Rattus norvegicus: one gene and its partner. The protein of the gene in region 1 interacts with the protein of each later gene in a biochemical or structural test. Links are inferred from orthologs where the notes say so. Each region holds a gene or a part of one and is shown on either strand. Other genes may lie near its edges. The genes, in order: Map3k5 and Txn1.

Region 1 (14,939 bases):
AGCATCAGATCCCATTACAGATGGTTGTGAGCCACCATGTGGTTGCTGGGATTTGAACTCAGGACCTCTGGGAGAGCAGTTAGTGCTCTTAACCTCTGAGCCATCTCTCCAGCCCCAGGCCCACTTCTTGCTCTGAGAATGATCTTTAGAGCCCTGTAGGTGCTCTTCCCGCCCGCCCGGAGGACCAATCTGAACAAACGCGTAGAAACTCGCCTTTCCTTGGAAGAGCAGCTTGGGCGGATCCCATGGGGGCTGATACCACCTAACGCATGGAGGCCAACAGTCAGCTGGTTGCGTTTATTAATACCGTGTTTTGCCGCGTAGAGTTGAGGCCACATTTCAGCCTCGCGTCGGAGAGCGACACGGCGGATCCGGAAGACTTGGATGTCGACGATGAACACGAGGAATCGCCTTCGAATCAAACCGCGCGGAGGCCCCAACCCGTCGCGGAGGATGCCGTGGCTACCTCAGGGGTGAGCACGCTCAGCTCCACCGTATCCCATGATTCCCAGAATGCACACCGCTCGCTGAATGTGCAGCTTGGGAGGATGAAGATGGAAACTAACAGGTAACGGGAGGGTGCGGGCTCGTTTCTTTTCTTCTCCTTCCTCTAACAGTGAATAATCCGGGTCTACTTTAAAGAGTCTGACCCACGGGGCTGGGTGTGGTGACGTGTGCCTTTAACCCTAGCACTGGAGAGGCAGAGGCAGGTAGATCTCGTTGAGTTCAAGGCCACCCTGGCCCACAGAGTGAATTCCAGGACAACCGGGCCACAGAGGAACCTTGTATATAAAAACAAACAAAATTCTGACCCACAGACCACACAGGATGGTCCTCTCACCCCTGCTCAGAAAGCTAACTGCTTTTCTGTGTCAAATACCAGAGGTTGACTTGAGCCTCTTGTAAAATGGTGCTTTTCGAGCACTTACCTGCTGCTTTACCCCGGGTACCCTGGGATTTACAGAATAACTGAGTGGTGACCTCATGGGGACCCTCTTGGAAACAGACTCAGGCAGTCCGGTCCTTCCTGGAGACAGAGATCGACCATGACTTGGGATATCTTATTCCTTTAAGAAAAAGCCCCTCCCCAGCTCCGGAAAAAAAGAACCAAAAAAAAAAAAAAAAAAAAAAAAAGAAAAAGAAAAGAAAAAGCCCCTGGGGGGCTGGAGAGATGGCTCAGAGGTTAAGAGCTCTGACTGCTCTTCCAGAGGTCCTGAGTTCAATTCCCAGCAACCACATGGTGGCTCACAACCATCTGTAATGAGATCTGATGCCCTCTTCTGGTGTGTCTGAAGACAGATACAGTGTACTTACATACATAAAATAAATAAATCTTAAAAAAAAAAAAAAAGCTATCACAGATGCCAAAACAGCAGCAGTTAGTTAGTTATGTATTTAAAAAAGAAAGAAAATAAAAGTAAAAAGGCCCTGTATTCAAAGGGACAGGACTAAAGTTCGCACTCAGGAGCTTGACGGTTCCTGGCCACATTTGTGATTGCGTCGTGACGTATCGGGTGCCCTGGAACCTGTCTGATCCAGTTACCCAAGAATGTCTCCTGTTCTTCACAGTCGGTGGCACAGGTCAAAGTCTGAGTACTTGTGATTTACAGCTTCCTGCACCGGTCCCTGTTGACATGTGGGAAACTGGCTTTATGGCTCTGAGTCTGCAATGAAAACTTTTTAGAGAATCAATAAAAGACGGTCAAATATTTAGAGACCTTAGTTGAAGATATAGCTGTCCGCCATGGTGACGAAGGTGACATATTTCTTACTGTAAGTTTAAGGCTTTAAAAGTTAAACTTCACCTGCTTATCGCTGGTGATTTTCGTGGGGGAGATGTTTTCGAATATGGTGGCGGTGACTCTGATAATCCACACGCCGGCCTTGTCCTCTGACACACAGCTCTGCCTTGTGCCTTTTCTGACCCTTCATTGTAGCTGCCACAGACTGGATCGCTTTGCTTCACCCGGCCACTCAGTCCTGACTACACCTGATTTTGGAACCCCTGCTCTGGTTTCTGGAGGGGGAAGCCTCCTGAATTACTGGGTTGCTCCAATCCTACCTACCATGGTTTCTGGTCAGAATAGTTTTGCAGGAACGCTACCAAAGAGCTGTTCTGTCTGCTTGTCTGTCCCTCAAACCTCTGCCTGTCCTCCTGGGCTTGTGGGTAGGACCTACATTTCTAAACATCTCAGAAGTGCATGTAGTTCTCCCTCCTCTCCTCTGCCTGTTTGCTTTGCCTCGAGCTCACCTCACTGTCCAGCACAGTCTTCTGTCTGCCATGTTTATGACATCTGCAGTTTCCCGGAACCCCAGTTTTCTTCATCTGGTCACAGGTCCTTTCTCAGGTCCTCTTGGCTCAACCTGAAGTCTTGCTTTCCGAAATCTATCCATTTCTATAGAGGGGATCCGCCATGTTTTGTATTGCCCTCTGACACAGCTACCTTTTTGTCATAATCTACACATTTGTGTTTTCTCTGCACTCTCTCAGTTGAATCTGTGAACTCTAAGGACTACTGGCCTCCTCTTTCCTTTTTAGGTTTTTCTAAATTCCCCAAACCATCAGAAATGTAAGGTGAGATTCAACATTTTCTTTACAAATGATCAGAAGAAGGGCAGACAGTTTACTAACAGCACTGAGCGCATACGCAGGGATTGATAATGTCTATCTTAGACCTTTTGAACATTCAGTTGGATATTATTATTTCTTAAGATTTAAATTTTTTTTCAGTCCTTTTATACAAGGTCTCATATAGTCTGTGCTGGCCTTGAACTAGGTATGTGGGTAAGGATACCCTTGAACTCCTGATCTTCCTGCCCCTACTTCCCAAGTACAGAGACGATAGGCTACTACCTGGACTTATCTCCAGTTGAATGTTGTTATGGGAGGGTAGCTCAATGACAGGGTGCTTGCCTAGCAGATACAAGACGCGCGTGTACATGCCTGCCTCTGTGTGTGTGTGTGTGTGTGTGTGTGTGTGTGTGTGTGTGTGTGTGTGTAGGAGATGTGGGTGTATTTTAGGAAAGGGGGAAACTCTGGTGTTAAAAATCTTAAGCTTAGGGGCTGAAGAGATGGCTTGCTATGCAAGCAGGAGTTCAGTCCCCAGCAGCCACATAAAAGCTGGACACAGTGTCACCTGTCTGTAATCCCAGCACTGGGGAAGACCCTTGGGGTTTGGTGCCCAGCCAATCAATTTGCATCTGTGAGCTCCAAGTTCAGTGAGAGATCCTGACACAAAAGATAAAACATAGCAAGTAAGAAAGCCATATGCCATCCTTTCCTAGCTCTCTGTAAATCAGCAGGGTAGACAAAGATACATTCCAGACCAAAATCGCCCAGTGAAAATCCATTCAGAGTTTGCTCCCCATACTGGGGCACCACACCTGCTGGGGTTGATACAAAGTCTCTCTTTGGCCCTTTGCTTTCAGCCCCCGTTGTTTAACCCATCTAACCGTGCACAGGATTTTCTCTGCAGGGCTCTTTGCTTACCTATCTTCTTTAGCCCTCCTCTCTCTCTTATTGTGCCTCACTTTTGTCCCACCTCTACACTCACTTCTGCTGTGACCCATCTCCTTCACGAGGGCCTCATCTTTAGGTCCTGCATGGAGGAGATCTTGGGGCGCAAGCTAGGGGCCTCTACTTATATATGTTGTCTCATGGAATTCGTACAGTAATCCTTCCTAGGAGTTTCCTAACGAACAAGAAAACTGAAGCCGGGAGGCACTGGGCAGTGTCTAAGATGAACACAGGAAGTGTGTGGCAGTCTACAGGTGCAGGCTTATCTCGAAGTTACAGCATGCTGTCTGCTCAGCATGTCAACGGAAGGAAACCAGCATTTGGCTGTGCACGGTCCCGAAGTAAATCTATCAGTGGTCATAAAATGAAACAGAGCTGGCTTGCCAAGAGCTGCGGGCTATTTAATAATTGGTCTTAAAGGCCTTAATAATTATGTATTTTATTTTTTGAGATTTGCTTAATGTGTATGAGTGTTTTGGTCACATGTATACCCATGCACCTCGTGTGTGCCTGGTGCCCTCAAAGTCAGAAGAGGGTATTAGATTTCCTGGAACTGGAGTTAGAGGTGGTTGTGGACTGCCGTGTAGGTGTTGGGAATCAAACCTGGGTCCTCTGCAAGAATAACATTGTGCTCCTCAACACTCGGCCATCTTTCCAACCCCAATGATTATATACGTTATAATTATATGCAGAACTGTGAATAAGGATTACCCAGGTAGTGCCAGGACACCAGCTCCTGTAAGCTGTGTAGTGATTCCTCACAGAAACAGGCTGGACAGTGCGAGCTGGCCACTGGTTGGTTCTTGGTTGCTAGTGGGCTTTCCACAGGCAGAAGTCATGTTAGAACCTCAGAATTTATCTTTGCGTTTTGGGACCACACCAGACCCACCTTAAGAACTGAATGTACCAGAAACGGGGCTGTGCTTTTAAATGCTTGTTAGCCTAACCCAGCCTAAGAAGGGAGGAAGAAGATAGCAGTAATGGCTACAATTGTAACAATAACCATTAACTTTTATTGAGCCCGATATAAGAGGTAGCCTCGCCTAAGTTATTCCTCAAATTTTCATAGCTTAAGGATGATTGCAAGTCTCCACAGGTCGGAGACTTGTCTACAGAGAGCTCATGACACATGCACTCCCTGACTTCAGACCAGAGCCACTGGTACCCACGACTGACTCTTTTATTTCTATAAAATCCCTATGCTTGCTGTAGCTTGGGAAAGAAGGCCGAGCTTAGAAAGGCACTGTTACCTCCTGCTTTCTTATCCCGTCAACCAACCAGAGTCTCTCTCGCAGATTACTTGAAGAGTTGGTTCGGAAAGAGAAAGAGTTGCAGGCACTCCTTCATCAAGCCATTGAAGAAAAGGACCAAGAAATTAAGCACCTGAGACTTAAGTCCCAACCCATAGGTAAGCAGCAGAGGATTTCAGAGTTGTCCCGTTTAGGCACGCCTGCTCAACCAGGCTGCCACAGAAGGCTGGGAAGGCTAGCAGGCAGCTGCCCCTCCCCTCACCAGCTGGAAGTCCTTTTTAAAGATCTCCTTCTTAACTTTAGTAACTGCTCATCTTCTATGAGCACAACAGAAATGCATGCTCGTGGCTACTCTTTCAGAGATAATGCATTATTGAGGTAAACAAGATTCTCCCCTCTTTTAGTCCTTGTCAAGATTTCACAACGCTGGCAGCGTCTGTGGATCAAGCCTTTAATCCCAGCACTTGGGAGGCAGAGGCAGGTAGATCTCTGAGTTGGAGGTCAGCCATAGCTGCCCAGAGAAACCCTGTCTGTGGGAAAAAAAAAAGAAAAAACAAAAACAGTCAGAAGATTTCACAGTGAGAGCGCGAGAATCAAACAATGCTACTCTGTGTCAGCATATTCTGGCTCTCCTCCTTTCAAATCTGGAGTGGCGTCCATAAGATAAGCTTACAGTAAGAAAAGGCCATCGTTTGAAACAGGGAAGGAATAAGCATTAGGAGAACTCACAGCTGAATCTCATTGGCTAATTATTGGGACGTTGTAGCTGCCCTTCCTTGTTTACTATTTGGCCCTTCTGTATTATTACAAATAGTCAAGAAAGAGACTGTAATTGTATAGTACTCTGCTAACTATTTCTCTTGGCTGCAGGAAAACCACAAGGCATGATCGGTGCACGCAGAGTTAGTTTTAAGAAATTATATGAAAGTACAAAGTACATTTTATTACAGTGTGACTTCTGACTTCCCATTTACTGGTAGAATTAGCTTGTCTGAGTTTTATTTATATTGTCATGTAGCCAGCTAACTTGTTCTTTTTTATTAGTCAGTCTCTGACAGCCTTTAATAGTTTAAAATGAGCACAAAATTCCCACGGATCCTGAGGGTTCTACATTGCTTCTGTGAAACTAAAGATTCTCCCCACGTTTGGTTCTAGATACCCCTGGGTTTCCCGTGTGCCACCTGAACGCTCCTGGTACAGCCATTGAAGACTCTGAACTTACTGGCTGGCTGAGGGAAAATGGAGCTGACGAAGACACTATAAGTCGGGTAAAGAGGCGCTATCTGTGGGACCTGTGGTATTTCAGTTCTCTATGTACTGGCACCTTAGGCACGGGAGACATACTTCTCAGCGAGTCAGAGCCAGTCCCACCCTACAGAGGTTCATACATTACAAGAGACAGATGAATTCCCCTGATTTAAAAAAAACAAAATAACAGTCTTACATTAGCAAATTCTGACATGGAGTTTGCAGGGCTCTGTGTGTGTGTGCACATGGGTCTGTGTGGTGTACATATGTGTGTGTTGTATATGTGTGCACATGTGTCTGTGTGTATGGTGTTCTTGTCTATGTGTGGTGTGTATGTGCATGTGTGTGGTGTGTGAGCACATGTGTCTGGTGTGTGTCGTATATCTGCATACGTGTGTGTGGTACGTATATGCGCGTATGTGGTTGTGTGTGTCTCTGTGTGTGTGTGTCTGTCAGTGTGTGTGCTGTGCTTTTCTGTGGTGTGTACATGCATGTGCGTGGAGTATGGTATATGTGGTGTATGTGGAGATGTGTGTGGATGCATGCATGTGTGCATGTGTAAGGTTCTCCCAGAGTGCAATGAGTGACTCTAAGGTAGAACGTACTATAAAGTTGGCCAACTGTATACACTGGGACAGGACAGACCAGGAAAGGAAGTTGTTCTCCATGGGGTGGGGGATGCACAAAGGCAAGGAAGTGGATACCGCATAGTTTTTCATGGCCTCTAAGGATTCTGTTGTTTACAGAAGGGAAGTTAAGAAGAGCAGGGAATGAACAGGAGTACAAGGGAAATGGCTCCCTCTGCTGCTACTCCTTAACCTTTTAATTCTTTTGCAGTGTTACTAGCTCTGCTAGGCAGTGGCTACTCATTGCTACTTGACAAAAGTAGATGTGGCTGGGGAATTTATGTCAGAAATACTCGCTATGCAAACCACATTGTGTCTATTACAGCAAATTCCTCTCTCACCACCATACTCTTACAGTTAGCATGTAAAGCACGTGACGTAACATCACATGTATAACGTGTGTGTGTGTGTGTGTGTGTGTGTGTGTGTACTATTTGAGAGTCGGAGAGAGATCTCTGCAGTCAAGAGTGTGTACAGTTCTTATAGAATACTGGCGTTTGGTTCCCAATACCCACATCTGGTGGCTCAAAACCACCTATCACTCTAGCCCCAGAGGATCCAGTGCCCTCTCCTGGAGCCCATACATGCCTGCATTCTGAGCACATACCCATGTGCAAACACACATCCTTACACAGTTAGAAATAAAAACTCCCTTTTTTAAGTTGTTGTATTTTCCATTTGCAAGAAAAGACAACCTCTTAATAATACCATACTGTCTTCAGATGTATGCATATACATTTAAATAACCAAAATAAACTTTTATTTTTGCAATATATGAACGACATAAAATCTAGGGTCTCCTTAGAGACATACATTTAACAATTTACTGCTACCTAAGTCAAAGTAACTCTGTCACTAGGGGAAAACCATACACCTGACCAAGTTCTCCAAAATATTTATCCTCTCGGGCTCAAATCACAACCAAGGGAGACGAAACAGTGACCCGCTAAGTCATCTTCCCTTTCAGCTGCTATAATTAAAAGCTCCATTTCCACCCAGAACTGGCTTTGCAGGGAATTACAGGGAGGTCTGTGTTGCCGGCTAAGGAAAGTAAGTTTAGAGACTATGTACAGGCAATAATGTCCCAAGAATACTGTCTGACTGCTTGGGAACAAAGAGCTATGGAGAACGAGACTTGTTCGATGCGAGCCGTGAGTGGCCTGCGTGCATAACGACAAGCAGGATTAAGCCTGCGTGCGTCACCTCTAATCTGTGAGCAACGGGAATCACATCGACGTGTTTCTTTCTGAGGCTGAAGTCAGAAGGCTTTTCCTCTGCTAATTCCAGAGGGTTGTTGTTTTTAATAATGGCTTTCCTTTTGGGTTCATTCTTGATTATTAGCAACGCTTGCCTTGTGGGCACATTTTATTTCTTCCTTCACGGTACATGCAGCTCACCGTGTGCATGCTTCCCTCTCTCGGCAGTTTCTGGCTGAGGATTACACGCTGGTGGATGTCCTTTACTACGTCACGCGTGACGACTTGAAGTGCCTCCGACTAAGGTATTGCTTTTCTTCCTCTTACATTTGGTTACCACGAGGGAAAGACCCTCAGTTTACAACAGGAAGTCTGGGTCCTTGCCCTGGGGGGGTCTCTAACCAGCGCTGCGGCTCAGCAAGGGCTGGGTCTGGTTCTCAACCCTCACGCTAAGCTAAATTAGCTGGGCGAGGCTATGTGGGGAAACTCTTAATAACTAGTATCTCTGTTGAGTATGGGACAGTCAACGGGAAGGGATTTCTTAAATAAGACTGCAGACCGAAGTCACGCAGATCCCATTCAGGCTTCCGTGAAGAACTTTAAGGTAGCCTGTGGTCCTCTGGTAAAATAGTGGGAGTGGTTACTTACTTACCAGCTGGAACGATTTGTATCATCTGGTACAATTGCTTGTCAGTTTTCTCTTCTGGTCCAGGTAGATCCGTAACTTAGCAACCATCTCTAAATAGACACATTTGCTGGGTGGTGGTGGCACATGCTGTTAACCCCAGCACTCGGGAGGCAGAGGCAGGCAAATCTCCATGAGTTGTAGGCTAGCCTGGTCTCCAGAGCGAGTTCTAGGACAGCCAGAGCGTCATAGGAAAACCCTGTCTTGAAAAAAACTATACACACACACACACACACATATATGTATATATGTATATGTATGTATGTATATATGATCACATTGGAAAAATGCTCAAAATGTAAAATGATGTTTTGTCCTCGACACTTTCCGTGGTGGAAAGGAAAGGACTGAAGAAGGGTGGTGGGAAATACTATGCACACGGAACACGTGAAGCCTGTTAAACCTGGGGTCTTCCCGCTCACCAAAGGAGCTGAACGAGAAGAAGTCCTTTTTCCCTCTCAAGGGCATTTCCAAGTGAGAGCTTTCTTCAGCTTGTTCTTCTGTCTTTAAACAGGGGAGGGATGCTGTGCACGCTGTGGAAGGCCATCATTGACTTTCGGAACAAAGGGGCCTGACTGCCACCAGGGTGACCTTGACTGGAGATTCTGAACACTGATAAAGAACTGCTCTCCTTGTGGGAGGAGGAGTCGAGGGGAGGCGAGGAAGAAGCTGCACTTTAAATCCAGTATTTGTTTACTCAAAAACGAAAGAAAGAGATAAGACACACTGAAATCTCCTAACTTCCATTTCTACAAAATTCCTACGGACTTTTCGGAACAATCCTTATTAGAGCTGTAATGTCGGGGCTTTTTAGCCTACACATTTTGACGGAGAGGTTTTTCAGTCAGCAGCTATCCATTTCAACCCGGTGTTTACCACGGAAAAGACAGAACGTTTCGTGTGACTGCGTACCACTGGAACAAAACCAAAATGTGACCACGGCTTTTTAGGGTTCTCTGTGTGTGTAGTGCCCGAGTGTCTGAGCAGAAAGGCATCATTTCAGTCGTTGTATAAAGTTGTTTTTTTTTTTTTTTTAAGTGGGCAGAATCTAAGAGTAATGGTTTCTACTCTGTACTAATTGTCATATTGACTGTATTTTGTAACTTGTTTCTGGCCTAGGGTGTGTTTGTTGGAGGGGTTTATGTACTACTGAACGGTACCACTAGCACATGCCTGGATCGTAGTGATGTTAGCTTGTTCTAAAGCTATCCGTTGTGTCATATTTACAGAAAAGTAAAAAGATTGCCGGAATGCTACTTTGACAGAGTCCAGAGAATTCTTACTTTGTGCTGATGCACTAAATGACTGGGTTAAATTTTTTTTTTGTTGTTGTTGTTTTGTTTTGTTTTTCTTTTGCTTTCATCTATGACATCGAATAGAATGTGATTCTGTTCAGGCAATGAAAGGACAGTTGGGATCCAGATTGTCCCTTGGGGACAGCAGGGTGTGGGGCGGGGGGGGGGGGGGCGCAAGAGAGCGGTGAATATTTTAAACTCGATGTCTTTTCCCCATGACCCCAAGTTACCTTGAAAAAGTAAGACACTGTACCATATCTCAAAGTGGTTTGCAAGAGGATCCTAATGGACACCACTGTCTTTTCTGTCTCCTTAATGTGGTTCTCACATCTGGGGAAATTTTTTGAGCCAAATATTATATTTTTATGAGCCTTCCTTTGTAGCCAGGACGAGGTGTGAAGCTCCTAGGTAGATAAATAAAATTAATTTCCTATATACACAGGGATGTGTATTCCATAGCATGGAAACAATGCAGAGGCGTTCAAGTGTCATGATTTGACCCATAGAAAAGTCTCCAATAAAAGAGAAATGGCCTTTATTTCTATGTGAAAATAAAAGTACAATGTGTCATATTGCATCTGAGTATATAAAATAATTCTCTTGAAAATGTTCTCAATTGACAGCAACAGGGTTGATCTTCTTTAAAACACCTCACCCCGGGGTTGGGGATTTAGCTCAGCAGTAGAGCGCTTGCCTAGCGAGTGAAAGGCCCTGGGTTCAGTCCCCAGCTCCGGGGGGAAAAAAAAAGAAAAAAGAGAAAGAAAAAAAAAAGAAAGAAAACACCTCACCCCTGAGGACAGATCATTAGTCTCTCAGATCCTCTGCATTAAGACGCAGGTTGTCTCATTAATTTTAATGTTTTAAGTGCTTCTTTTATATTGTGTGTACATAGGAGCAAGCTACCCATTTTCAACCGGTCCTTCATATAGTTTTTCCTTCCTTCTCCCCTACCTCCAGTGTCCGTCTGTCTGTCTCTCTGCCTCCCTCCCCACTCTGCTTCTGTCTCCTTGTCTCGAGCCTTCCTAACACACACTGTGTTCCCAGATCACCTACCATTGTGGATTAAGGTTCATGGAAGGTTTGTACTAGGAAAGACTTTACCTTCAGTATGCCCGGGCTTCTCGACCTAGATTCATGTTCAGATGACCTAGATACTTAGTAATATCACAGAGCACTCGCTTAGCCCTGTGTGAGACTGTAGGCTCAATCCAGCAACACCATACACAACCACAAGAAGGCTTTAAGGACCAGGCACCTTGGGACGGGAGAAATGGCTTAGTGGTTAAGACCAGCTTCCCAGATCCACAAATCAGGCAGCTTATAGTAGCCAGTAACTCCAGCTCCATGGGTACCTAAACTCAGATGCACATACACACAAGGAGACACATGTACATATACGTAATTTAAAATAAATCTTTTAAAAAAATAAAGCACCAAACACATCTTTTAAATTCCCCATCAAGTGATGATCAAATCATACCTCATTTCTGGGTCCAATGAAGAGCAAAGTGAGACACGGCTCCTCTCCTAGGCGGGGCGGGAGTGAGGCAGCTACCTCACTGTTAAGTGTGGAGCCCAGAAGGAAGCTCTCACCTAACTTGGGCCTTTGGCAAATTCGCCTCTCTGTCTCAGTTCCTTCCTCTGTGAAATGGGGAAACGGCGTGCCTTCCTCAAAGGGTTGTTCTAGGAATGAACTGAGGACAGCACAGGCAAGGTACTTAGGGAATGCCCGGCATACAATAAGAGCCCAGGGGCTGCCCATCCTGGGATCGTTGCCACTCAGAAGCATTTGATCAATACTGAGGGCCAATGAGATGACTACTTCAGTGGGTAGAGGTGTTCACCATGCAAGCCTATGATGATCTGTCAGAACTCACACAAGAGTGGGAGGACAGAAGCAATTCCACAGTTGTCCTCAGGCCTCCACAAGTGTGCAAGATGAATTCTGCACACACCGTGCACACAACCGGGTAAATGCTACTGGAGAGGCCATGCTGAGGCATATGAGTAAGAGGTAGTTCTTACCACCCAGGCTCCACCATCAGAGAGGACTCAAGAGCATAGGAAGGGTTATGGATACGAAAGCCAGAACGGAATCAAGAAAAGTTTTTCAAGGCTGAGTTGAGCCTGGGAAGATATTTAGAATAGAAAGTTATGCAGGGTTGACGGTGCCTCTATTTTAAGAGAGAATGGATTTTCCAGAACCCCATTTAAATGGCTCTGATGACAGAGATGCTGTAGCACCATAGAAGAGAAATGAATGACACCCACCACAAGTACATGATGTCAGCAAGGACACTTCAACCTGTGCACAAATAACTCACCGTTCCAGACTTTATGGTTCTGCCGTCAAAAATATGCATTGAAGACCTGGGTTTGCAATAAATCTTCCCACATCTCATAGGCTCGGCAAGTGTTAATCCCAGCTGTCACTAGTCAAGTTCAGAGGGTAAAGCCCACTGAGCCAGGACAGGAGGACATACTCCATGTAGAATCTTAACCTGGACCTTTCAGTAGTTATACTAAGTCAGGACCAGGGCCGAACACGGGCATTCGAAAGGCCAGAGGGGGATCTGAACCATTTTGAGGAAAATGAGTGAAACCCATTGGGCAGAAATTCAAATGATCGTGGCACAAGTTAGAAGATGAAGGGTTCCAAGGACCTCTCAGGAAGTAGGGATGGAAGGAGGCAGTAAGGTTAGCATCGGGTTATATGGAAATAGGGAATCTATTAAAGAGGTTTTGAAGCAGATAGAGCTGTGTAAAGTGGCTGTGTGTTTGGTGATTGCTAATCTACTGACACGGTGTAAGGGGGATTGAACTGACAGGGCAGTTCTGAGCCTGTCTCAGATCTGGAAGAGGGTCCGGCGTGAGTCATGCCAATGGGAAGCGAGGGCCTCAGGAATGACTCGTAAAGATTTGGGAACTGTGGGCAGTGCTGATGAGGGAGAGGATGGGGTAAATGCTGAGCTGGATGGGTAAGAAAGAGTCACAAGTAGGAACTCAGCCGGGATGATCTGGATCCGTTGGATTCATAGCAGAGTGTCATGACAGTATTATACGAAGAATATTGCAAATAGGCTGGAAAGGTACTTCAGTCAGTAAAACGCCTTGTAAACTGAGGGCCTGAGTTCAACTCACAGAAAATCAAACAGAAACAAAGCCAGGCATGGTGGTGTGCATGCTTGCAACCCCAGCACCGGGGAGGTAGAGACAGGCAGATCCTTGGGGACTTGCTGGCCAGCCATTGTAGAAGGAAGCTCTGGATAAAATGAGAGGCCCTGTCTCAAAAGGTTTACACTGTCCTTCCGACCAACCACTTCCATACATCCATACATGCACACCCATGAACGAACACACACGCATACACAAAAGACTAAGGAATGCTTTGGAGAAGGTTGGTACTGAGGTCAGGAGAATACATTCTAGACTTGAGAGTCACCCAGGTGGAGGGTCCCGAGAGACAAAGCAGAGATAGGGAAGGTGTGGCTTAAACTCTGGAGAGTATGAAGATCTCTGGAGGAAACAGAAGAGGAGAGTTCTACACCAACAAAGGAGTCTGGGGAGGAAGTAAAGCCTGGTTAGTGAGGAGTGAACCAGTTGAGAATAATGCAGGATCCTAGTCCACAACATGTCTAAGGGACCGTCCCCCTACCATCCCAGCCATCGAGGTGGAGGCAGGAGACAGGAGACAGGAGACAGGGGAACAACTGATAGAAAAGCACTTGATATTGTGACTTGGGAAGCCACTGTAGATGCGCGAGAAAAACTGTAAGTTACCATGGCCCTAGGTGAAGGGGTATCCAGAGGATAGGGAGAAAAGGAGGCAGAAAAGAAATGGTGCCAGAGGCTCTGCTCTCCCCCTGGGGAGGGGAAGTGGGAGATCAGAACTTTGTGTGAACTCCAGGCAGATGGCTTCTGTGTCCCTTAGCAAAAAGTACAGCCTCAAGGACAGTATGGTGGCATCTGACATTCAACAGATGTCATTCCCTCCCTGAATTAACCATCTACACTGCAAACTAGGTTTGGAACGAGGAGTCCAAGGCCTTACTGCATTTAACTTGGATCGACTAAAACACGAACTACTGAAGGAACGGGAGGACAAGCACATACTGGACCAACTACTGCCAAGCACTCATCGATGGCTTTTTTAGTTTTTTGACACAGGGTCTCACTATTTAACCTAGGCTGGCCTCAAGCTCCTGATGATCCTCCTGCCTCAGGGAGTAAGGTGGGTTGTAGTGAGAATTTTGGCTTCTTTAAAAACCCCATTATGTGGGTTTTTTTTTTTTTTTCTTTTCTTTTCTTTTTTAATCCCAGGTGTGAGAGTAGAGGCTGTTCACTGCAGGTGGCCATGATCTACCTCCTGCACTAGCAGGGGCGTGACTGTTGCCAGCTACAGATAGTTTAATTCTAGGCACTCTGGGGTTGTGGGGTGGGGGGAATGTATAAATGAGAGTCCAGAGTGGGGCACCCTGTGGTGGCCGCTGCTCCTTCTTTTGCTGCTTTTGTTATAGCTGGTTCGCTAGACTTACTGGCAAGAAACACAACGTACCAATCAGCAGAAAGTGGCCCATGGAGGTATATACCCCCTTCCTCTCCCACCTTTCTCTCCTGTCCTTAGGAATTAGGGTGAAATAAGGGTTGGAAGAGTGGTAGATATAGAAACCCAATATAATAGCTAAACAAATACACCAAGAGAACAGAAACATCTAGTATGAATAACGTCTTGATTTGTGTCTTGTCTTGATCAGGAGCTTGAAAAAAAATTACCTTCCTTTTCCAGGGGTCTGCCAAATAGTTGAACTAACTACATTCAGCTAAGAGAGGCTCTCTGCTGTTCGAGGAAAGCTCTCCAAAACTCTCCTGATTTCACAAAGTGGAAATCCTTGCTAGTGCTTAAGCCGGGGCCAACAAACACATCCTCCACCTACCTGGGACTTCATATTTACTGACCGGAAGCGTGTTAAGATTGGTTGGAATATGCTGTAGGACCATCTCACTGTTTAAAGATCTGTTTTTGGGGGCTGGAGAGATGGCTCAGTGGTTAAGAGCACTGATTGCCCTTCGAGAGGTCCTGAGTTCAATTCCCAGCAACCACATGGGGGCTCGCAACCACGTG
Region 2 (15,293 bases), on another chromosome or scaffold:
TTTTAATTTAATTAGGGGTGGGGGTGAGCAGATACTTACTTTCCTTGGGCCTGATCTACTACGATTGTCACTTGTTTTAGTTTTTGCTAACTGACTGACCAGCATCTGTCCCCTGAAGGAAGGGTTGACTTCAGACACAACTGTGTGTGTTGCTCTGAATCACCTTTGTTGCTCCAGTTTGGGTTTTGGTCATGACCACGTGACTGACGGTGGTTTGAATGAGCCCCTGGTGACCACACTGTTAGGTTCCTAGGGTTACAGTATCATGGCTTTTAGTAAATAATTCAGAGAGATTGGCAGTGAGGGATTTTTTTTTTAAATCATTTTTGCTGGGGATTTCATGTGACAGGTGTTACTTAAGAATAATTCCTTCTTGAGAAACTAGAACTTGGATTTATCTAAAGAACAGTGAGTTTTGATCCATAGGGCAAAAGCCAACGGTTGATTAAACCAGGATGATCCCAACTCTAGAGACCCTGTTCATAGCACAGGGAAGGTGCTGGAGCGCTGGAATGTCGGTTAAGAGTGTTCCTACTCCACCAGAGAAGCCTCACTCAGTACCCACTACCCATGGCTCCAGCTCTAGGGGGTCTCATGCCCTCTCTGCCCCAGCAGATGCTCACACAAATGAGATCCTAAAACAGCAGACGCACACAGAATGCTATGCTAATGGCGACCTCCTGAGTAGGAGGTGGCTCTCCTGGACTCTGCCATGGGGTCAGAGATTTTCTCGAGTTTCGCTCTAGACAAACTAATTAAGTGTTGCCTTCATTTGCCCCTTGGTTAGGTAACTTGTGACTTCCCCATTGCCTAACTGTGTCCTGTGAGGCTCCTTCAATTTTTGAGGCTCCCTTCACCAACCCCTAAGAATCAACTGTCTATCACAGAACTGGTTTTGAAGTGAAAACATTTTTACTACAAATACTATTTCCCTTTCTTTGATTTAGTGTAAATATGTTAGTTGTGTGCTAAGGATGTAACTCAGAGGCCCTGGGTCCACACGCCACCACTACCCTCAGATTAGGCAGTTAACAATATTTTATATAATATTCTTGAAGACGTGAAGACCAATGTACTCTCTTTCCACCTTATGTCATCTGATCGAGTATAATGCCTACTGTGTGCAAGATTCCTTTCAAGCCACTTTATTTGCTTCCTTTGATTAAAAAGTAGGCCCTAAGAGCCTAACCCCCTATTTTGTACTTAATTTCTCTTTGTTTCTCATTTGCATGTTTGCTTGGGTCTTTTTGGACAGTGGGGGTCTCACTGACTGGCCTGGAACTGACTGCCACCATCCAGAGGTCTGCTTACCTCTGCCTCCAGAGCGAGTGCTGGGTTAAAGACATGGTGGCACCTGGCCATGTGCTATGGAAAGCGGAAGTATATGATATGTAACAGGATGCTTCTTTCTCCCTCCTCAGGAAGCTTTTCAGGAGGCCCTGGCCGCTGCGGGAGACAAGCTTGTGGTAGTGGACTTCTCTGCCACGTGGTGTGGACCTTGCAAAATGATCAAGCCCTTCTTTCATGTGAGTGTGGGGGCAGTGGGCTTTGAAGCTGGCTACTGAGCACAAGACAGGAGGAAAGGGTTGAAAATAATGGGTGCGAGGGGTTCGCTTTATTCTCCTGTGTCACTGACCTAAAAGTAGGAGCAGGACAGCTTATGTAATATGGTTCATTGAGGACAGCTTTCAGAAGTTTTGTTGTCCTAAGTAATTTTTTTCCTTCGCATTTGATACCTGGGCCCAGTGTGCAATTTGGGCTTCAAAGTTACAGTGCCAAATTATTTTACTCTTGGGAAAACTTAACTGAGACACAGCTGAGTCCCTAATGCTTACCTAGTCTCTAGGCTGAAGTTTTAGACCTAGCTGGTGAGATTGCTCAGTGAAGGGGGAAAAAAAAGACACTTATGGCTTGCCCTACAAACCCGAGGACCTGAGTTTGATCCCTGGAATCCACACTGGAAGGAGAACCAAGTCCCTGAGGCTGCCCACGGACTTACACACACACCTGTACACATTTACAAGAATAATAGTGCAGTAACAAATAAAATAAGGGCTTTTAAAATAAATCTTTAATTAGTGTATGGAGCTGGAGAGATGGCTCAGTGGTTAAGAGCACTGGCTGCTCTTCCAGGGGACCTTGGGTTGGTTCCCAGCACCCACATGGGAGAGTCACAACATTTTATAACTTCCAGGGCATTCAGCACCCTCTTTGGCCTTTGCAGGCACCAGACACACACGTGACATACAGACATCTGTGTAGCCAAAACACCCATGTACATAAGCTAAAATTAAATAAATCTTTATTTAATCTCTATGGTGTCTCTCTTGAAGAAGCTTAAGAATGCGATTATCCAGTTCTAACGCTTGGTTTATTTTAAAATTTCTAGTCCCTCTGTGACAAGTATTCCAATGTGGTGTTCCTTGAAGTAGACGTGGATGACTGCCAGGTATGTAGTACGAAATCGGATGCTGCCAGGCATCTCCCAGTGGCCTGTCCTCTGGAGGAGTCTACTCTGTTCTTTAAAGTAAAAAATGTCCAGTAATTCTAGAAGTGGGACCCTGTCTAAGAAGTTCTATTTCAGAAGGGTTGGTCCTGTGCCAGTTATGGGCGTGACCCTAGCTATTCAAGCTGTGTTCAGCACATCCTACAGCAAGCATCTGACCGCTTCCAGGCTATGCGGCCTTTGTGCTGCATAGACCTGTATTCTACCCCCCACTACGAGATGATCATCAGAAATAAGTCAGCTTTGGCTCTAAGAGATGGTAGATTGGGTGGCACTGTGGAATTGTGAGGAGCTCTGAACTTCTCGTGTGTGGGGACTGTATCCACAGGGTTATTATAAGAATGTTCTTATTCATATGCTTGGTTTGAATCAGTGAGAGGGCCCTGGTATTATAAGAAGCATGAGAGAGCCCTAGTGCCTTAGAGAGCTGGGAGAACTTAGGGGGAAATTCACAGCCTGGTTTTATTTAGGAAGTTCGTGCCCATTGTGCACTCAGCTCTGTTCTGTGTACTTTCCACATATTGATAAACCCCACCACCACCCCACCCCTAGTACTGCTGTTGACCCTGTTTTAGCGATGGGGAAGCTGAAACAGAAGACCGGGTGTTGCAGTTGTAGAGTCCCTGGCAGAGCCAGTGTTTAAAATGAGGAAGCGTGGCTGCTCTGCCCTCGCCCCATACCTTCCCCAGGTTCTTAGCATAAGCCCTCTCCCCTCACCCAGGCCACTGGGCTGGAAAGGCCCAGGTGGGATGGAGCATCATGGCGCCTGAGGGAAGGATGCATGAGTATATTGGACTCACTGGATTCTGCTTCAAGCTAATCTCCCCTCTTCTTCAGCCCCAGTTCTCAGTCTATAATCAGATCTCCATACCTAGCCATCAGCTTGGTCCAGGTTCAGGAGGGTCGCATGAGGTGTTCAGTGGTCCTCTCCGAACATCCAGCTCCCGCCATCCCCTGACTGGTTTTTCTCAGCATACTTTCTGGCCCATCTCTGCTTGTGCTGTCTCCCTTCCCTGGCCTGTCCTGTCCTACCTGACTGAACCAGTCACAAGCTTCGCTCCTTTTTCATGACCCTGGCTTCATTTACCCCCCTTCACACTACACTCTTAGTCTGCTTTCCTTCCGAGCCTACAGTGGTACGGAGAGGAGGTGGACCCTGGGCCTGTGCTGCTGGTCGCCTGCACCTTATTAACAGTGAGGGCTTGCTTGCTCAGCTTGCTTTTCTGTGATGTACTTTCATGCTCTAAATGGCCATGTGGTCCAGCATCACAAGTGAGGTGGCTATTCAGATTGAGCAGGACCATAATTATGACGCCTATGGAGTGCCTGGCTCCTAAAGAGTAAGATGTGACTGCTTTCACAGGAAGAGAGCATCCGACATCCTAAGTGGTCTGAAACCCAAAACAGTTTTGAATGTTAGGCATCATGGACGAAACAAAGAAGTCTGTGCAAATATGAAGTCTAGAAACCCTGAAACATACCTGGTCTTAAGCATTTGACTAAGGGATACTCAAGTTGTGATACCTCTGTCACTAGTCTTAGTCAAATGCCTAAGGAAGTTACTCCCTAATACAGTTAGAAAAATGAGAGTATAACCTGCTTATCGGAGGAAAAAAGTTCTTGTTCTCTGTTTTCACAAACTCAGTCTGTCCGTTGCACCCTATCCCCAGCTTCTTTATGACAACAGTTCTGAGTCATGGGCCACCTAAGACTATCAGAAAACACTTATCTACATTGCAAGTCTGTACAGTAGCTAAATTAGTTAAGTTTATGATTGGGGTCACCTCACCATGAGGAACTGTATCAAAGAGTTGCAGCAATAGGGAAGTTGTTAACCACTGCTATATGGTTACTGAGCCAGGAGAAATTCACTCAAGGTTTAGCTCAGTTGACCCTGTCTGATAATTCCAGTCACTGAAGTCTCCTGGGCACCTCCAAGGTTTAGCTCAGTTGACCCTGTCTGATAATTCCAGTCACTGAAGTCTCCTGGGCACCTCCAAGGTTTAGCTCAGTTGACCCTGTCTGATAATTCCAGTCACTGAAGTCTCCTGGGCACCTCTGTGTGTGTTTTACCTTGAGCTGCCCACAGTCACTGAGTAGCACAGGCAATGACAGAGGCAGAGAAAGGACAGGTCCTTCTGCCTCAGTCCTGACCCCTACAAAGACATGTAAAACAGCTGGGGACACGGAGTGACAGCACCTTCAAGTCTGCTTGGGTGTCTTTTGAAACTTGAAGTGACCCTGTGACCAAATGGAAGCCTTTAACTTTGGTTCCATACTCTACAGACCTAAGCATAGAGAACCTTAACAGAAGTTCCCTAAACACCTGAGTGGAGGGAGTCCTGTAAGCAGCTCAAATGGACAATTGGGCCTGTACCCATAGCACATAGGAAAACAAGGAAATGGCTACCACACAGAAAGTAACATGGAGGCCCTTTTGACATGACACCACCGATCATTAAGTGTAGGTGTTACAACCCTTGGAGCAGTAACTGGGCAGAATCAAGACTTAGAATGATAATGAGACTGTCATCCAGCATTACTGAAGTCCTGGGTATTGGCTTGGCATAGTTAAAAGGTCAGCACTCCCAAATTTAAATTTAACTCAGTCTGAAGCTAATGTATTTAGAGAATTTATGGTGATGCTTTGAAATAGTACAGGCATGAAAATCTGGACTGTGTTTTTAGAAACAAAGGAGGAGTGGGGAGAGAAACATTAGTAAAAGTTGTGCAAATATATATTAGCCACATTGATTAAAACATTGTTTTAAGCCAAGACTATTTAACTATATGTTAATAATTTACTTTTTAGAGTTAAGCTGTTGCTGGTCTATCTTACTCTCTATTACATAAATCTAGAAGATAAAATTTGTAGGGCAGTCATAGGCACTGTAAAAGAGCTTTCTCTTTTGATGCTGAGCAAAGAGACTGCAGTCCTGAGTGGGGCCTTGTTAGCTGGGGTATATGAAGTCTGTCCTGAGTGGGCAGGGCTGGTGGGTTTGATGGCATAAAAGTCATGAGACCAAAGCACAGTCAGGAGTTCTGCTTATGGGATTGGTGAATGGGAGGAACAGGTCAGTGTGTGGGGACATTCATTCATGAGGACTGAAAGTGCATTAGGAAATACCACTGTTTCTAGGTCAAATTAAATTCTTGGAGTTTGGTTCACTTGGGGCTGAAGAGATGGCTCTGCGGTTAAGAGCACTTACACAGAGGACCCAGGTTTTATTCCAGCACCCGTATCAGATAGCTCACTGAAACTCAGGTTCTAGGGAATCTGACACCCCGTAGGTATAAACACATTGCCCTAGTGTGGGTGTTTTGATCTGTGATGAAACACATGACCAAAAAGGTTTATTTTGGTTACATTTTGAGGTCACATTCCATCACAGGGAAGTCAGGCGGGAAGCTGGAGGGGATGCTAGAGCAGTGCTTCCTGCCTGGCTTAGCCAGCTTTCTTCCAGCACCCAGGACCCCCTGCCTGGGTGTGCTGTGACCTCCCACATCAACCACTAAGAAAAGGCCCTAGAGGCTCCTACAGCAACAGAAGCAATTCTTTAACTGAGGTTCCCTCTCCTCAGTTAAAGGACTCTAGCTTGTGCTAAGTTGGCATAAAACTAGCCAGAACACACAGAAGGGAATATAAAAGACCTTTAACAAATAGAGCATTGCCATTCACACAGTGGTTGCTGAGGGGTGGTAAAAAGGTGGGTACAAAGTCCATATCTGAGGGTGTAGGTATATGTGGGGGCGGGGCTACAGTGCCTGTAGCACACGCTTTGTAAAGAAGGATGTGTGGTAGGTCATGAGTTGATAAGATTAGTAAAGAATGGGCTGCCCCCAGCTATTCTTCATGAGGCAGATTGTAGAATTTTCTGCAGCCTAGTTCCATTTTGTGTTTTAAAACCCCAGAGTATGTATTTATTCATAAGTATACGTACATAAATTGGAAATGATCTAAAAGTCCAGTAAGAGGAATTAATTATATTGTGAAATAAAATACCATGCCACCTTTAAAAAAATTGCTTTGACACAGAAAAATGGAGGGGGGGTGCATTTTTAAGGTACATTCCTTTTGTGTGTAAGTGTTTTGTTTACAAGCATCCGTATGCACCGGTGTGTGTGCAGTGTCTGTGGAGGGCAGAAGAGAGCATCAGATCCCCTGGGACTAGAGCGGCAAATGGTTATGACCACTGTCAAACCCAGGTCCTCTGCAAGAGCAGCCAGTACTTCTGACTGCTGAGCCTTCTCTCCAGACTCTATTAGAAAGTTGTTGATGCTTTAATTAAAAATGTACTGTATGGGGCTGTTATACAAAATGTAGGAGTATAAACACGTAGAAGTTATCATTAAGATTCCTTTTCCAGTGTCTATGATTTATTATTTGTTTGTTTGGAAGACAGGGTCTTAGAGCCCAGACTGGCCTTTAAGTGGCTATGTAACTGAGGATGGCCTTGAACTCCTCATGCCCCTACCCCCACTCCCCTAGTATTGAGATTACAAGTGTGTGCCATCATGCTTGGCTAAGAGTAATTTTTAGGCTGTAATTCAATGTGTGACCCTGATCCCAGCTTCATGGTGTGCACCTGTCATCCCAGCACTCAGGAAGCTGAGGCAGGAGAATCTTGAATTGAGGCAGTTAGGTCTCATACCTAACAACAGGACAACTAGCTAACTATGATGCCTATCAACCCACACCTACCTGATGGATCCTCCCAGCATCCCTTAGTCCCTATGTATTATAGGGTATGACTGACATACCCCACACCCTATCCTAAACTTCTCCAGCCCAGGGGCTAGGCTGTTCTTCCCCCCAGCTGTCCTTCCTTATTTAATCCAGCCATTTTGGTTACCTGGTACTTTTTGTTAACCCTTTACTCTCCTGGCTCACCCCTCCTCCTCCTTTCAGATGTCTCTGTCTCTGGCTGTGTTTACCTTTTATATACTATCAACCTCCTGCACCATACCTCGGAGCAGTCGAGTTCTCCTTGTTTATTTCTTTCTTTTTTTCTTTTTTCCATCACTGGCCAGCCTTGGCAATGTGACAAGATCCTATCCAGAGAGTTAGGAATGTCGTGTGGTTATAGTGTTTGCCTAGAATGTGCAAAGCACTAGCTTCCAGCCCCAGAAACAACAAATAAAGATTAACCAGCTCTTACAGTCATCATTTCTATATACCCTGCCCCGTAATAAAATTGGAAAAACTTATTCAAGAACTTAGTCGAGCTAAACAGCGCAGTGAATGGCTTAGCATTAGCATTCCGTTTATTAATGCCTGTTAATGGAGGTAGATATTAGTAAAATGTTTTCATTGAGAATGCAACGTGGTAGGCTTTTTTCTGCTGTTGTGTTGATGTGCTTAAGAGGTTCTGAGGCTGAGGTTTGGGACATATAATGGAAAAGGGGACGTTTTCAGAATTTTCCACCTGTGTTTAATGTTCCAATCCTTGATTTCATCCTCTCTTCCGACCACCTTCCCCTGTGTCCCAGGATGTTGCTGCAGACTGTGAAGTCAAATGCATGCCGACCTTCCAGTTCTATAAAAAGGGTCAAAAGGTATGTATATCTGGATTTAAAAACACCGACTGTACCTGGGCATGGTGGTACACACCTTAATCCCAGCACTAGGGAGGGCGGCAAAGGCACACACAGGTAGATCTTGGGAGTTGCAGGACAGGACAGCCTGGGCTTCCCAGAGGAGCCACATCTTTAAAACAAACAAACAAACCACCTGGGACTAGGTGTGGTGCAGACACTGGTGATCCCCGCCCTTTGGGAGTAACCTGGGAGAGTGCAGAGGGGTCAGGTCAGGATGTGCTGCAGAGCAGTCAGGCCCTGTTTCAGAGAACCAGCCGTGGCTGGGGTGGCTCCTGCCTTCTATCTTAGCACTCGGGAGGCAGAGGTGGTGTGTCTCTCTGAGGCTGGCACGGTCAGTCTACAGAGTGAGCTTCAGGACAGCCAGGGCTGTTAAACAGAGAAAGCACTTCAGCAACACCCAGGAAAAGAAAGAAAAGAATAGTCAAGTGGGCCAAAGACTGTGAGTCATCCAGGAGACGGCGCTGCCATCTTGTTTCATGTCAAATAGACCCTGGTGTGCTGTTGTATGCTTATATTTCAGAGCTTAGGAGGCCAAGGCAGGAGGCTTGCCACAAGTCCGAGGTTAGCCTAGGGTATATAGTAACTTACTAGCTAACCTGGGTTTACCAAGAAAGACCCCTCTAAAACAAAACCAGAAATAACACTTCAGCCAAGGCACATAATACGTGCAGAAAGCACTGAGGAGACGTCCACACAAGGGCGGTCTCCACTGCCTGCATCCAGGACAGTGGGGGTGGGTACGGTGCTGTAATCTCAGCACTTGGGAGGATGAACCCAAGAAACACCTTGGGTTGAGACCAGCCTGAGCACTGGAAAAGGCTTTGTTTTAAAAAGGAAAAGACAGTGTCTTTCTTCCTGAACCTAAATACATAATATGCAGCAACAAATTGAAAATTAGTCTCTGTTAAAGAGCAGTAGCAAAATCTCCACAGCTGGTTCATAATCATACCACGGAGCACATGTTCCTAGCCCTCAGCAGGTCGTCTCATCTTACGAAGAAAGAGGGCTTTATGTTTTGGGGGAAATTGCACTGGAGCCCTTTGGCTTCTCTCCTGGTTCCTTCATTTTTGCTATTAGTTTTGCCTTTTGGTTTGACTTTGGTTTGTTGTTTAGAAACTGTTACTTGAGAGAGCTTAAGTAAAACCTCCCCCTTCTACGTCCCCACCCCTGCAATTACAGCCTCTTACGGAGTAGGTGGGATAGGCGCTGCTCTGGCTAATCACCCTTTCCTCTCAACAGGTTGGGGAGTTCTCTGGTGCTAACAAGGAAAAGCTCGAAGCCACTATTACGGAGTTTGCCTAATCATGCTCTGAAAAGTGTGACCAGCTCCAGCAGGTTAAAACCTGTACCTTTTTTAATTTGCAAAAATAACCTATGAAGTGTGGAGAGTCTATACCCAACTGCCATCTGATTATAAATGACAATAAAATATTAATTCTACCCTTTTTAAAACTGTCTGGTGTCTTTTAGTATAAGTGAGAAAGGGCCCGATTTAGTCCCCTTGATCTTCAGTAACATTTAGCCACTTGCTAAAAGCCATTTGCTTTAAGACTAAATGACGGGCTGGAGAAATGACTCAGTAGTTGGGAACATTGGCCGGACTTGCAGAGGACCTGAGTTTACTCCCCAGCACCCATATGGCAGCTACCTGTTTCTCGAGTTCCAGGGGATCTGATGTCCCCTACGGGGCTCCATGGGAACCAAGTGTGTCTGGAGCACATGTACATTACATGTGGCTAAAACATTCCTATAAACCTAAATATTTAGTTGTAGAAAATCTCTTGTTTATTCGGTTACATTAAAAGTCTAAGGGGTTTGTTATTTTACCTCAGTAAACATGCTCTGTGTGCTCCAGACTATGAGCGTGACTGGTGGTTCACGCATGATGAAACTGTTGGTCTGATATGAGATGTCTGTGCCATAGATTACAGTTAGCTGCTAGTACCCTGACAGTGAGAGCTAGTTGTCCGTGAGCTTGGCTGCGGTAGTGTATGCTGATAATCCCAGCAGAGGCAGGCCTCTCTCTGTGAGTTCAAGGCCAACCTGCTCTACAGAGTGAGTTCTAGGACATCCAAAGCTAAAACAGAAACCCTATCTTGAAATACAAATTCTCCGTGTTCCACTCCAGGGCTGCAAGCATTACCATGGAGACTGGTTTTACAAGCCTGGTGTGGCATGGTCCATGCACTTGGGAAGGTGGGGTCAGAAAGGTCAGGAGTACAAGATCCACAGCTACATAGCAAGTTCCAGGCTGATCTGGGCATCCTGAAACTAAACAGTAGGGGAATGGGACCTGAAGGAACAGCTTTCAGGTTAAATTAATACTGAGAGTCAGAATTCTGTCATAAGCTAGACATCCCGTTCATCTTTGCAGTAACCGTTTCTGGTACAGATGCTAGAATCCCCACTCACCAAGTGAAGGCAAGCCTACAAGGAATGCTCCCAGCATCCCAGCTGCTCAGTGGGTCGGCTGGAATTTGAACCTGAGAGGAGTAGCCCCAGAATGTAATTAGCAGCAGCCCACGTATTGTGTGGCAATGCTTGGGTCTGGGCTTCTTGCCTCTTATAAAATTGGGATATTGGAGTCAATGATTGGAGGGACATGCTATGTCCAAGGCACTGAGGACTTGGCATAGAGCTGTAAATAAGACTTTGAGCACACTCCTTACACAGCAGAGAAGGCGTGTGTGTGTGTGTGTGTGTGTGTGTGTGTGTGTGTGTGTATACATGTATAATTGTGTACAAACACACACACACACACACACACACACACACACACACACACACACACACACACCAGCTATATGAGGTACATTTTGTGAGGCAAAGAGAACCAGGAGACTGGCCACAGTAATAGAACAGGGAGACCTGCTCCCGATTGGGTGGTTGGGTAGGGTTCTGTGAGATGACCGAGCTGAAACTTGATAGGTGAAAAGGACTCCAATTGCCAAATGCCAGGGAGTCAGCTTTCCAGAGCAGAAACCAGGCACAAGGGGTCCGAGGTGAAGAGGGTGGTGCAGAATCCATCCAAGCATGAAAGAAAGGTGGATGGAGTAGCATGGCCCAGTCATCCCAGGCTTCACTGGCACAGGTAATGGGAAGCCATTGGAGGGTAAATGGTGACGGTAAAGAGTCTCATTTCAGTATGAGAAATGTAGATTAAAAATGAAAGCCAGGAGGATCCCTGCAGGTACCTAGGGCAGATACGAGGACAGTGGGGAGAGATACAAGGAGATGGTAGGGACGGAACAAGCAGCCAGAAGAAAACAGGACCCAAAAAGCTATCCTGAGGTTCTGAACTAAAAACCTGGGGTGCTGAGTCTCGAGAGGGGGGTCAGAGGAAGCAGGTGAAGGTAACGAAGTCTCTCTAGGAATGTCAGACGCTTTCAGAACGGACATTCAAATGAAAAGGCTGTGATGGTAGCTGGGTACTTACCTTGCGCTTACTGCAGCACTAGGCGCAGAACTAGATCCCTACGCCAGCACTCGAGAAAAGTTCCACAGGGCTGGACGGGAACAGGAACTGAAGACGTTATTATTAGATGCCCTTTAGAAACATTTGGGAAAATCAAAGAGAATCCAGAGTGAAGGGCTCCAGATAGAGCCTAAAGAACTCCAACTTTAGAGAGGGGGACGGGCGGACACACACAGAATAGGGAGAGACAACGGAGATTATCAGTCGGCCAGAGCGGAAATGGGGGCCAAATGGTGCTGAGGGATTTGGGGAGGTGAGGAGCAGGAGGAATCTTAATGGGCATCGGCTGGGGTGGGAGAAGCAGAGAGGGAAATGGACAGACGCTAAGCAAGTGCTGCATGTACAGAAGGCTGACGTTAGAGCTTTATCTCGCCCTATATAAAAATCAACTCAACACGGATCAAAGACTTTACTGTAAGACCAGAAACAAGCCATGTTTGGTCGTGCGCACCTATCCTGGTAAACTATCCTGGGCTACCTAAGAGCCCCTCTCAAAAGAAAAAAAAAATCAATAATGAAAGAGCAAAGTGGGAACTGATAATGAATGCAACAGAAACTCCTATAGCATGATGGGAACAGAAGCGAGATTGCTGGGGACAGACATCATTATCCTACAAGAAGTCACCCTTGTTTGTGCAGAAACATGTCCAGAGCAGCACACATGATAAGCATGAACAAAGGCACGCATTCATCAGTCCACTGTGCCGTGCTCTTTCTCAACTGGTTGTGATAGGACCAGTTCCTTCAAGCTCTTGTCACCTTGACGCCAGCAGTGATGGACAGCATCCACAGTGACCCCAGCAGGATTGTGACCTGCATTGTGAGCTAAACAAACCCATTCTCCCTTATATTGCTTTGGTCAGGGTATGTAGAGTAAATGCTAGTCATACTGAGATAGAAAAAAGTGTCTCTAAGACCAAGTGCAGAATGATATTAAAAACAGACTAGTATGATTGTGTGTGTATGGGACACAAGGCATGCTACCTATCCCTATAAGCAAGTGTATATGTAAATTATCAGCCAAAGCTTTCTGAGGACAGATTCCAGCTAAGCACAGAGGTAACCGAGGAAGGAGTGTCTCGTTTTATCTGTAAGCATTTGGGCGTTTCATAACAGCAACAAACAATTCCAGGTCACAGTTCATTACTGCTGGAGGTCAAGGTGGCAGGAGCTTGATGTAAATGGTCACGTCACATCCGCTGTCAGGAGCAGAGCATATAGGATTAATGAATGCACACCTTTGCACAGCTTACTTGCTTTCTCCACCCTTAGGCAGTCCAGGAAGCTCTCTGCCTAGGGAATGACGCCACCCACAGTATCAAGATAACCTCCCACAGACATGCCCAAAGGCCAGCTGGATCTTGCTGCAACTGTCTTCCCAGGTGATTCTAGGTTGTGTAGAATTGACAAATAAAACTGACCACCCATGGATTTAAAATGTGGAAAGATGAACAGAAAGGAAAGAAATGTTGGCAGGCCAAAGAATTTTGCTAGAACATAGAGCTGACTGGTGGAGGTCAGAGGCAGTGTGTGTGTGTGTGTGTGTGTGTGTGTGTGTGTGTGTGTGTGTGTGTGTGTGTGTGCGTGTGTCTGTGTGTGTCTGTGTGCGTGCGTGTGTCTGTGTGTGTGAGTCTGTATGTGTCTGTGTGCGTGAGTGTGTCTGTGTGTGTTTCTGTGTGCATATGGGCGTGTGTGTGTGTCTGTGTGTGTCTGTGTGCGTGTGTGTGTCTGTGTGTGTGTGTCTGTGTGTGTCTGTGTGCGTGAGTGTGTCTGTGTGTGTTTCTGTGTGCATGTGGGCGTGTGTGTGTGTCTGTGTGTGTCTGTGTGCGTGTGTGTGTCTGTGTGTGTGTATGTGTGTGTGTCTGTGTGTGTCTGTGTGTCTGTGTGTGTGTCTGTATGTGTCTGTGTGTATGTGTCTATGTGTGTCTATGTGTGTGTGTGTGTCTGTGTGTGTCTGTCTGTCTGTGTGTGTGTGTCTATGTGTGTGTGTCTGTGTGTTTGTGTGTGTGTGTGTGTGTGTGTGTGACCATTTGGTGGGTTTGCCAATATATGAGTGGAAAGTAAGTGAAGTGACTTACTGTAAGTCAAGTGACTTGCTTGACTGTAAGTCAGCAAGGATTCCTGTAAAAGGAAGTTTCCTTTTTAGTCAAGAAAGAATGGAAGGATGTTAAGCCTAACATGGAAAGGCAAACACTATTTTATATCATCTGTGGAATCATAAATGGTCAGACTCAGGGTGTCATAGGGAAGTTGGGAGCAATGGGGAGACATTTCTAAAAACAAAACCTCCTGCACTTAACAAAAATGGCGTCAGATCTCCATCCTGGTTAAGTTTTAGGCTTTATGCATTCTGGATACCAGTACTTCAGTGATGTTGTTGTTGTTGTTGTTGTTGAAAATTAAGGAGAACACAGAGTTCAGCTGTTTGTTAAAGCTGATGTGACCTACACCTGTGATCTCAGCATTAATGGCTGAGGCAAGAAAATCATGAGTTCCAGGCAATACTGGGCTACTTGGTGAAACCCTGACTCAAAGTAATAATAAATTGATAATAAATACATTAATAATGAAACTATTATTATCGCCTGACTGTGGCTACCACATGCCTGTAATCCCAGCACTTAGGAAGTAGAAGCAGGAAGATCAGTAGTTGTAGGTCAACCTTGGCTACCCAGTAAGTATGAACACAGCCTGGGCTACTACAGACTGACCCTGTCTCAAACAAAAAACAAAGTACTGGGACAATTTTGAAAGAATTAAGTCACCATTATTCTTTTTAAGTTTCCTTTTATTATTAATTTTTTTTTACATCCTGCTCACTGCCCCCCTCCCAGTCATCCCTCCCACAATCCTTCCCCCAAACTCCCTGAGCAAATGGGGGCCCCCTGAGTATCCCTCCACCCTGGCACATCAAGTCTCTGCGAAGCTAGGTGCTTCCTCTCCCACTGAAGCCAGACCAAGCAGCCCAGCTAGAAGAACTTATCCCATGTACAGGCAACAGCTTTTGGGATAACCCCTGCTCTGGTTGTTTGGGACTCACATGAAGACCAAGCAGCACATCTGCTACATATGAGCAGGGAGGTCTAGGTCCAGCTTGGGTATATTCTCTGGTTGGTGGTTCAGTCTCTGAGAGTCCCAAGGGTCTAGGTTAGTTGAGCCTGTTGGTCTTCCTGTGGAGTTCCTACCCCCTTAGAGGCTGCAATCCTTCCTCCTGTTCTTCTATAAGGTTCCCCAAATTCCTTCCACTGTTTGGCTGTGGGTGTCTGCATCTGTCTGAGACAGCTGGTGGGTGGAGCCTCCTGTCTGCAAGCATAACAGAGCATCATTAATAGTGTCGGGGATTGGCGCTTGCCCATGGGATGGGTCTCAGGTTGGGCCAGTTATTGGTTGGCCATTCCCTCAGTGCCAGCTCCATCCTCCATGCCTGCATTTCTTAGGATAAATTTTGGGTTGAAAGCTTTGTGGGTTGGTTGGTGTCCCTGTTGCTCCACTGGGGTTCCTGCCTGGCTACAGGAGGTGACCCAATCCCCAGTGCTGAGTCACAGCTAAGGACACCCCCCCCATTGATTCTTGGGTGCCTCCTTTATCCCAGGTCTCTCTCTCTTCCTGGAGATGACCCCACCTCCTCACCCCGGTCAGTTGCAGATTTCCATTCATTCTCTTGGTCATCTGGCCATCTCTCCTGTCCCTCCCAACGCCTATCCTGAGCCCACC

The links.
Region 2: the proteins of Map3k5 (region 1) and Txn1 form a complex in vitro, tested with the Homo sapiens proteins (3 studies listed by BioGRID). The link is inferred for Rattus norvegicus from reciprocal best matches to the Homo sapiens genes MAP3K5 and TXN.

The regions. Positions count from the first base shown.
Region 1 is NC_086019.1:16,714,122-16,729,060, forward strand, and holds the end of Map3k5 (mitogen-activated protein kinase kinase kinase 5), read left to right. Parts: intron 1-324; coding exon 325-568; intron 569-4,812; coding exon 4,813-4,925; intron 4,926-5,922; coding exon 5,923-6,035; intron 6,036-8,065; coding exon 8,066-8,142; intron 8,143-9,036; coding exon 9,037-9,097; downstream 9,098-14,939. UniProt on the Homo sapiens protein: Serine/threonine kinase which acts as an essential component of the MAP kinase signal transduction pathway. Plays an important role in the cascades of cellular responses evoked by changes in the environment.
Region 2 is NC_086023.1:77,501,580-77,516,872, reverse strand, and holds the end of Txn1 (thioredoxin), read left to right. Parts: intron 1-1,421; coding exon 1,422-1,526; intron 1,527-2,389; coding exon 2,390-2,449; intron 2,450-7,996; coding exon 7,997-8,062; intron 8,063-9,343; coding exon 9,344-9,406; 3' UTR 9,407-9,418; downstream 9,419-15,293. UniProt on the Homo sapiens protein: Participates in various redox reactions through the reversible oxidation of its active center dithiol to a disulfide and catalyzes dithiol-disulfide exchange reactions.